2 linked regions of the Xenopus tropicalis genome follow. The protein of the gene in region 2 purifies or fractionates together with the protein of the main gene of each other region. This does not show direct contact. Links are inferred from orthologs where the notes say so. Each region holds a gene or a part of one and is shown on either strand. Other genes may lie near its edges. The genes, in order: casp2 and pidd1.

Region 1 (4,403 bases), on a different chromosome or scaffold from region 2:
AGAATCACTGAAGAAGTTGATCCGAAGTGCAGGAATCCTTTCCTCTCTCTCTCTCTCTGAAGACTGACTTCCAAGATCTCTTTGGGGCTCTTTTTATGTCCCTGTGGGCCCATTCTCCCAGCAAGCCCCTATTGTTTCTATGCAGGGGTGGGGAGACGTATAGGTGCCAGGGTAACTGGATTATCTGCCTACTGTTACCAATCAGGCCGGGGCAGACATGTTGGAGCCTTTGGGTATCAGTCCCTAATCTCATCAGAGAGAAATTAAATCAATTCCGCCATTGTTTAAAATAAACCCGTCACATAGGGCGGCACAAATTTGGGGGCGGCAATCTTGAGCTTTTTCATCCATATGGAGCAGTGGGAACCTCTCCCCCACTGCTCCATATGCGAATGTTTACACCCTGCATGCACGTTGGGGAGGGGGCGGTGCCGATCGCATGTTCGCACATGCGCATGGGGGGGGGTGTGTGCCGATCGTGCGCATGCTCGGAGGGAGGCGGCAGGATTACAAATCCGGCCCTGCAGCCAGTACTCTATACCGAACTGGCAGTATGGCCATAATAGGGGTTTGTGTAGATCCTCGAGAGGGGACTGCATCAACAGGCCTATGAGCCGCTGACCTACTGGAACTTCTCAACTGCCCATTCCCCTGTTGGATATGAGTTGGGGAGGCTGTCATTTGGGCCCTATATATGGGCAGTACTGGAATGGCCAAGGCAGCAGCTAATGTGGTGCCAAAAATGGCAGCCTTTATATGTTAGTAGAGTTATCCTTGGGCCAAGTAGGCTTCTTTTTGTAAAATGTTCCTGTATGGGGCCAGATGGATCTTTGGATGTTGCCGGTACAGGTATCGGACCCCTTATCCGGAAACCCATTATCCAGAAAGCTCCGAATTACGGAATGCCCGTCTCCCATAGACTCCATATTAATCAAATAATTCAGAATTTTAAAACTGATTTCCTTTTTTTATGTAGAAATAAAACAGAACCTTGTAATTGATCCCAACTAAGATATAATTAATCCTTATTGGATGCAAAACAATCCTATTGTGTTTAATGAATGTTTTATTGATTTTTTAGTAGACTTAAGGTATTGAGATCCAAATTACAGAAAGACCCCTTATCCGGAACACCCTTGGTCCCGAGCATTCTGGATAATGGGTCCTATACCTGTATTATGTTGTGAGTTAATTCAGGCCAATATGGACCCACAGCTAGTAACATTTATTGTACCTAATCCCTTATGTCAGAATATAAATATATTAACCCTTAAAGAGTTGGCGCTCATGAAACACTGCCAGTGATAAAATCAACCAATTTATTTGTTACACAGTAATGAGAAATTCATACATTAAAAAGTACCAATAAAAAGTATATAGTGTGCACTGGGGGAAAGGAGCTGCGCTGCCTGAGGTGTGAGGGGAAACAAGTGACAGGCTGTGTGACTGCTGAATGGCGGGGGCGGGGCTTCCCTCAGCTCCGGGCTGTAGGGAGGGGGAGGGGCTCCGTGCCCCACTGCCTCACTCTGCTCTACTTCCTGCCTTTCACCGGCCGAGCTCAGGCTGCTAACAACCGGAGGAGCCATGTTTTGTTTCGGATCTCTGTGAGGAATTCCCGCGAAACCCATATAAGAATTTACCAATTAGGAAAAAGCCCGGGAAATCCTGGTGACGTCGCGCTGTTCCGATTGGCCGGGGGGCGCGCATGCGCCTGGCAGCTATTGGGCTGGGGAGAAGGTCGGGGTTCCGTGTGGGTGTCGGTGTTACGGGTGAGGGGAGGGTCACGGTACCGGGGTCCATGCTCTGTTCTTGTAGCGGCCCGAACCCTCCCCCACACGGGCCTGTTGTGTTTCCCTGGTTTCCCCAATGAGCCCCCCAGAAGGCGGAGCCTATACTCTCTGAGGGACCTGCGCCAGGTGAGTGTGACGTCACCGACCCGCCGTGATTCCCAAGCGCTGTAACCATAGTAACCAGGAGTAACGTTCTACTCTTTCTACTAGTGGGGGAGTGTGTACCCCAATATCCCTACCTACCTACCCATACCCTTATATACTACTGAGAGAGTGTGTATGTACCCCAATATCCCTACCTACCCATACCCTTATATACTACTGAGAGAGTGTGTATGTACCCCAATATCCCTACCTACCTACCTACCCATACCCTTATATACTACTGAGAGAGTGTGTATGTACCCCAATATCCCTACCTACCTACCCATACCCTTATATACTACTGAGAGAGTGTGTATGTACCCCAATATCCCTACCTACCTACCCATACCCTTATATACTACTGAGAGAGTGTGTATGTACCCCAATATCCCTACCTACCTACCCATACCCTTATATACTACTGAGAGAGTGTGTGTGTACCCCAATATCCCTACCTACCTACCCATACCCTTATATGCTACTGAGAGAGTGTGTATGTACCCCAATATCCCTACCTACCTACCCATACCCTTATATACTACTGAGAGAGTGTGTATGTACCCCAATATCCCTACCTACCCACCCATACCCTTATATGCTACTGAGAGAGTGTGTATGTACCCCAATATCCCTATCTACCTACCTACCCATACCCTTATATACTACTGAGAGAGTGTGTATGTACCCCAATATCCCTACCTACCTACCCATACCCTTATATGCTACTGAGAGAGTGTGTATGTACCCCAATATCCCTACCTACCTACCCATACCCTTATATGCTACTGAGAGAGTGTGTATGTACCCCAATATCCCTACCTACCTACCCATACCCTTATATGCTACTGAGAGAGTGTGTATGTACCCCAATATCCCTACCTACCTACCCATACCCTTATATACTACTGAGAGAGTGTGTATGTACCTCAATATCCCTACCTACCCATACCCTTATATACTACTGAGAGAGTGTGTATGTACCCCAATATCCCTACCTACCTACCCATACCCTTATATGCTACTGAGAGAGTGTGTATGTACCCCAATATCCCTACCTACCTACCCATACCCTTATATGCTACTGAGAGAGTGTGTATGTACCCCAATATCCCTACCTACCTACCCATACCCTTATATACTACTGAGAGAGTGTGTATGTACCCCAATATCCCTACCTACCCACCCATACCCTTATATACTACTGAGAGAGTGTGTATGTACCCCAATATCCCTACCTACCCATACCCTTATATACTACTGAGAGAGTGTGTATGTACCCCAATATCCCTACCTACCTACCCATACCCTTATATACTAATGAGAGTGTGTATGTACCCCAATATCCCTACCTACCTACCCATACCCTTATATACTACTGAGAGAGTGTGTATGTACCCCAATATCCCTACCTACCCATACCCTTATATACTACTGAGAGAGTGTGTATGTACCCCAATATCCCTACCTACCCATACCCTTATATGCTACTGAGAGAGTGTGTGTACCCCAATATCCCTACCTACCTACCCATACCCTTATATACTACTGAGAGAGTGTGTATGTACCCCAATATCCCTACCTACCTACCCATACCCTTATATGCTACTGAGAGAGTGTGTATGTACCCCAATATCCCTACCTACCTACCCATACCCTTATATACTACTGAGAGAGTGTGTATGTACCCCAATATCCCTACCTACCTACCCATACCCTTATATACTACTGAGAGAGTGTGTATGTACCCCAATATCCCTACCTACCCATACCCTTATATACTACTGAGAGAGTGTGTGTGTACCCCAATATCCCTACCTACCTACCCATACCCTTATATACTACTGAGAGAGTGTGTATGTACCCCGATATCCCTACCTACCTACCCATACCCTTATATACTACTGAGAGAGTGTGTATGTACCCCAATATCCCTACCTACCTACCCATACTCTTATATGCTACTGAGAGAGTGTGTATGTACCCCAATATCCCTACCTACCTATCCATACCCTTATATACTACTGAGAGAGTGTGTATGTACCCCAATATCCCTACCTACCTACCTATACCCTTATATGTACCCCTAGCTACCCTACACTTCAGGGGAATTGTACATTTCCTATGGGCATAAATAGGTACAAATACACAGTACAGCTGCCCCGTAGAGCTTACGCTCCATCGTGTTACAGGTAATGGTGCCAGTGAGTCTGTTACTGGGGCTGATATTCTGGACCCATACTCTATAGGCACTGGGCCAATGGGACTGGTTCCTGTATGGGAAGCCACATGGGGTAATTAGTGAGTCGGTAGCGGCGACTAATTTATACCTGTACTGGTTGTTTAATAGAGCCTGGCTGTACCCCCCTATACAAGTGAATAATATATATATTGCCGCTTATCGTCTTCTTACACGACGGTTGTTTTTCCTGACGCAGATAGAGATACTATTGGGTTTTATGCCAAAATATG
Region 2 (3,832 bases):
TTGACTCGAGTACCTGTAAAAAATGGGGAACTTGTCACTTGTATTTACAAATAACTTTAAAACCATTAAGTGATTTTAATAAATCTCTATTGAAAGTTGCTTAGAAATATATTTTCTTTCACTATACAGAAAATATTTTATGGGTGTGGACCTTAAACATACTGTGGAGATGTTTAATTTAGAGAAATGGTGTAGTTACACTGCATATCATTTCATTTTCTGTTTTTCCATTTCCTTCGCTCAGAATCTGGCCATCTGCAAAGTCCCTCACTTCTCATGGTTCTTTGTGGTGTCACGTTTAGTGAAAGATCAATGTCAAGTGCCAAAAGATGGAGAGGTCTTGTTTTCTAGTGTAGACCAGAACATTCGCATTGAATTTCCTCCTGGTGCCACTGAAGAGACTCGGACTATCAGTATGCAGGTGAGATCTCGCTAATGATACTGTCCTTCAGTCTGTTTAATATCAGGAGCAAGAATCTTTGCACACATTCATGTTGCTGAATGAAGAACGATTACCCCCCTGGTGACCACAAATCAGAAATAAATTGGAACTTTGTGGTGACTGGTTCTGGAGGTAAAACATTTAATGGAAGGAACAGGCAACTGTGACTGTAGAAAATGATTTTGACTTTCCCTATTTGGAGAGCTGTGGATATATATTAATCCAGCACATATATAATTGTTACTGCCTACCTCAGATCATGTCACATAGTGGATTCCAATTAATCCATACAGTAATACGTGCTATTACTGGTCTTCCTTTTATGGGTAGATTTTACCCATTGCAGTATCAACCATTCATTCAATGGAATGTCCTCTATTCTGTTGCCCCTTAGTGCTCAAAGCACTTGTGCCCCCTGCATGCTAAATAATCTGGTTCTCAGTGATGAGTGCAGCATCAGGATGCACAGCTAGCCCTGTAAGGACAGGGTCCCGATGTGGACTGCTCATCCTGCTGCTCCTACATTGCACCTCAGAATGACTGCAACCCCCTGACCACCCGTTATAAATCAAGTGCGGCCTGTGTTTGATTCAAAGTGCAGTCCACTAAACAGGGGGCTGAGGCCTTTGGCTGTTTTCACAAAGCCCCATGCAGTGGGCAGAGTGCAAAAAAATGAGCCCAAACCCTATAGACTTACTTACAGTGGTAGCATAGTTAAGAAGTACTGCCTTAACTAAAACTGAACTACACTATCAAAGTCTTTATTCAATCATGTGTTTCTATTGCATATATAGAGTAAAAGAAACAATTAAGTTAATTTATATTTCAGTGTCCCCTTTAGCCAAACTCTTTACATTTTTCAATAGATTTTCTCTCCTACTTTTACTATTGATGTACCTGAATAATTTTTGCCATTTGTTTTATATAATTGCTGGATTATATTTAACATACTGATTATACAATCCCTATATAATTTTTATTAGTCACTTAATAATTGATTAATATTTCACTTCTTGTATAAAGACAATAGATTTCTCTGCTATAAATACAGCCAGCAAGTTTTCACAAGTTGTCTTGCCATGTCCTGACACCATTTTTTGGGTGTCAGGTCCTGCCTCTAGATGGTGCTAGAGTGCTAGCAAAACACAATAGAAAACAACATAGGCCATGCACTACCTGGTGGCAAATTTTAGTTTCTTTTTCTGTTTTGCTCCGGGACAACCAGTTAGAGACATAACGTGACAACATGGTAAAGGATTTAGGCTGCATCTGTATGTTCCCTCAGATATATAAAAATGGACATTAATACTACATGCTTTTAATATGGTTATGTTCTTTTTCATATCAGGTATTACCAGTAAGCACTGCAGATTTTCAAAGTATCACTGGAGATTCCCAGTCTGCAACCAGCCCTCTGTTGTGTCTGTCACAGAGCTCATCTGCTAATTTTCTGTGTCCTGTCAAAATCCAACTGCCACTTCCACCTGGGGTCACAGGTCAGATATGTGAATACATGGTTGTTATTATACCATAGTTATCCCATAATAGTTATTTTTAAAAACCAAAAATAATTTTTTGCCTAATTAAAAAAAACACAATTCTAAGCAACTTTCTATTATGAATTTACTCAAACATTTTAGTGCTTTAAAAGTTGTTTGTAAATGTAATTACTGTAGAAAGCAGCATTTGCTGAACTCCTGGTTGTTACTTTTTATACAATGTTGCAAAGGTCAGTCTCCTTCAGCAACACAGGTCTGTCAGCCTGCTGCCTTGTCTTACGTTATGTCAGAGCTACCAGGACAGAGAATAGAAAAGGACAGGCAGACACTGCTTTTAATAGCAATAATACTGTATATACAAATAACTAATAAAACCATTACAAATTTGTAATGAATGTATATTGCAAAGTTTCTCAGAATTTTGTTTTCTTTTATTAGGCAAAAATGTATGAAGTTCTGCTATTAGATAATGCGATAGGTTTTCTTTACTCCTTTCCAGGCGATACTCTTGATCGCTCCAGACTCGTCCTTTTACATGGAGACCCGCAGGCCCAGAACTGGACAGATATCACAGGGCAGGTGGAATTTGAAATTACCCACATTTATGCCCGGTTCCAAGTGGATCATTTCTCCTGGTAAGTCTCCCACATAGGATATGTTCAATCAGTTCTACAAATCTGCCCAACTAGTAAACATGTTGATATTTCCTGTCTCACCCTGTTCTTATTTAATCTTTCTCTGATTTAAGGTACTGGCTATGGTACACTACCAAAACTTACATTGGGGAAATTGCCAAAAATGTCTACACTCGCCTACGCATGTCTCAGGTGAATTTTGTGGCCTTGCAAAGAAAAAGGGACCCAGAACAGGTGCTGCTGCAGTGTGTTCCTAAACAAAAGGTGTGTACCCAGGATTATGTGGCTAATACAGCACTAACACTAAGGGGTATATTTATCATGCTGTGTAAAGAGTGGAGTGAAGCAGTGATGTTGCCCAGGGCAACCAATCAGCAAATAGATTTCAACAGTTAGAAAACCAAAGCAAAGCATCTGATTGGCTGCTATGAGCAACATCACTGGTAATGTTTTACTCCACTTTTTTCTTTTTTAAAGGTAAATTTTTATTGGTTTTACAACATCACAAAACAAAAATACAAAACGGTGTATAATATATTGACATTGAGATTGAAATGGTGTTGAGTCAGGTTTAGGCCAATACAGTCAAAGGTACTATTACTAGGCGTTGTAGTTGTCACAGTGTAGGTGAGTGTGTTTAGTTCTCTCGGATCAGTCACACTTAGGGGCACATTTACTAATCCACGAATCCGAATCACGCATGGGAAAAAATCGTATTGGAAATGAAAATTTCGGAAGATCGCAAATATCACGAAAATGCTTACGAAAAAATCGTATTAGTCACGATAATATCGTATTGGCGATCCGAAAGTCACGAAATTTCCGTACCGAACAATTGTAAACAGCGGTAAAACCTTTCCGCACGAGCGTTCGTGCTTTTGTAAATGTGCCCCTTAGTGTAAAGGGGTAGGTTATGTGTCCAGATTGTCTTGATTATACCAGTTTTCCCAGATCTTGTCAAACTTGTCATAAGCACCCCTTGTTTCATAGGTTAATTTGATAAGGGGGAGAGCTTCATCCACCAGCCTTCTCCAGAATGTTTGGGAGGGGAGGGTGTCTCCCATCCAGTGCATAATTACTGTTTTTTTGGCGTAGAACATGAGCGTACGCAGTTTGACTCTGGCCACGTTAGTGCATATTATTCCATCTATGACTCCTAATAGGCAAGTTATTGGGTCTACTATCTGCGGTGTACCCAGTTCACTTGCTAGTGTTTCCATTATTTTGGACCAGAATTCGTGTATGGGGGGACAGGA

Evidence for each region.
Region 1: the proteins of pidd1 (region 2) and casp2 purify together in Homo sapiens (affinity purification with western blotting; 5 studies listed by BioGRID and IntAct, with this or other methods). This does not show direct contact. The link is inferred for Xenopus tropicalis from reciprocal best matches to the Homo sapiens genes PIDD1 and CASP2.

The regions. Positions count from the first base shown.
Region 1 is NC_030683.2:7,306,117-7,310,519, reverse strand, and holds the start of casp2 (caspase-2), read left to right. Parts: upstream 1-1,311; 5' UTR 1,312-1,916; intron 1,917-4,403. UniProt on the Homo sapiens protein: Is a regulator of the cascade of caspases responsible for apoptosis execution. Might function by either activating some proteins required for cell death or inactivating proteins necessary for cell survival.
Region 2 is NC_030680.2:31,397,200-31,401,031, forward strand, and holds part of pidd1 (p53-induced death domain-containing protein 1), read left to right. Parts: intron 1-244; coding exon 245-421; intron 422-1,790; coding exon 1,791-1,938; intron 1,939-2,440; coding exon 2,441-2,576; intron 2,577-2,689; coding exon 2,690-2,840; intron 2,841-3,832. UniProt on the Homo sapiens protein: Component of the DNA damage/stress response pathway that functions downstream of p53/TP53 and can either promote cell survival or apoptosis.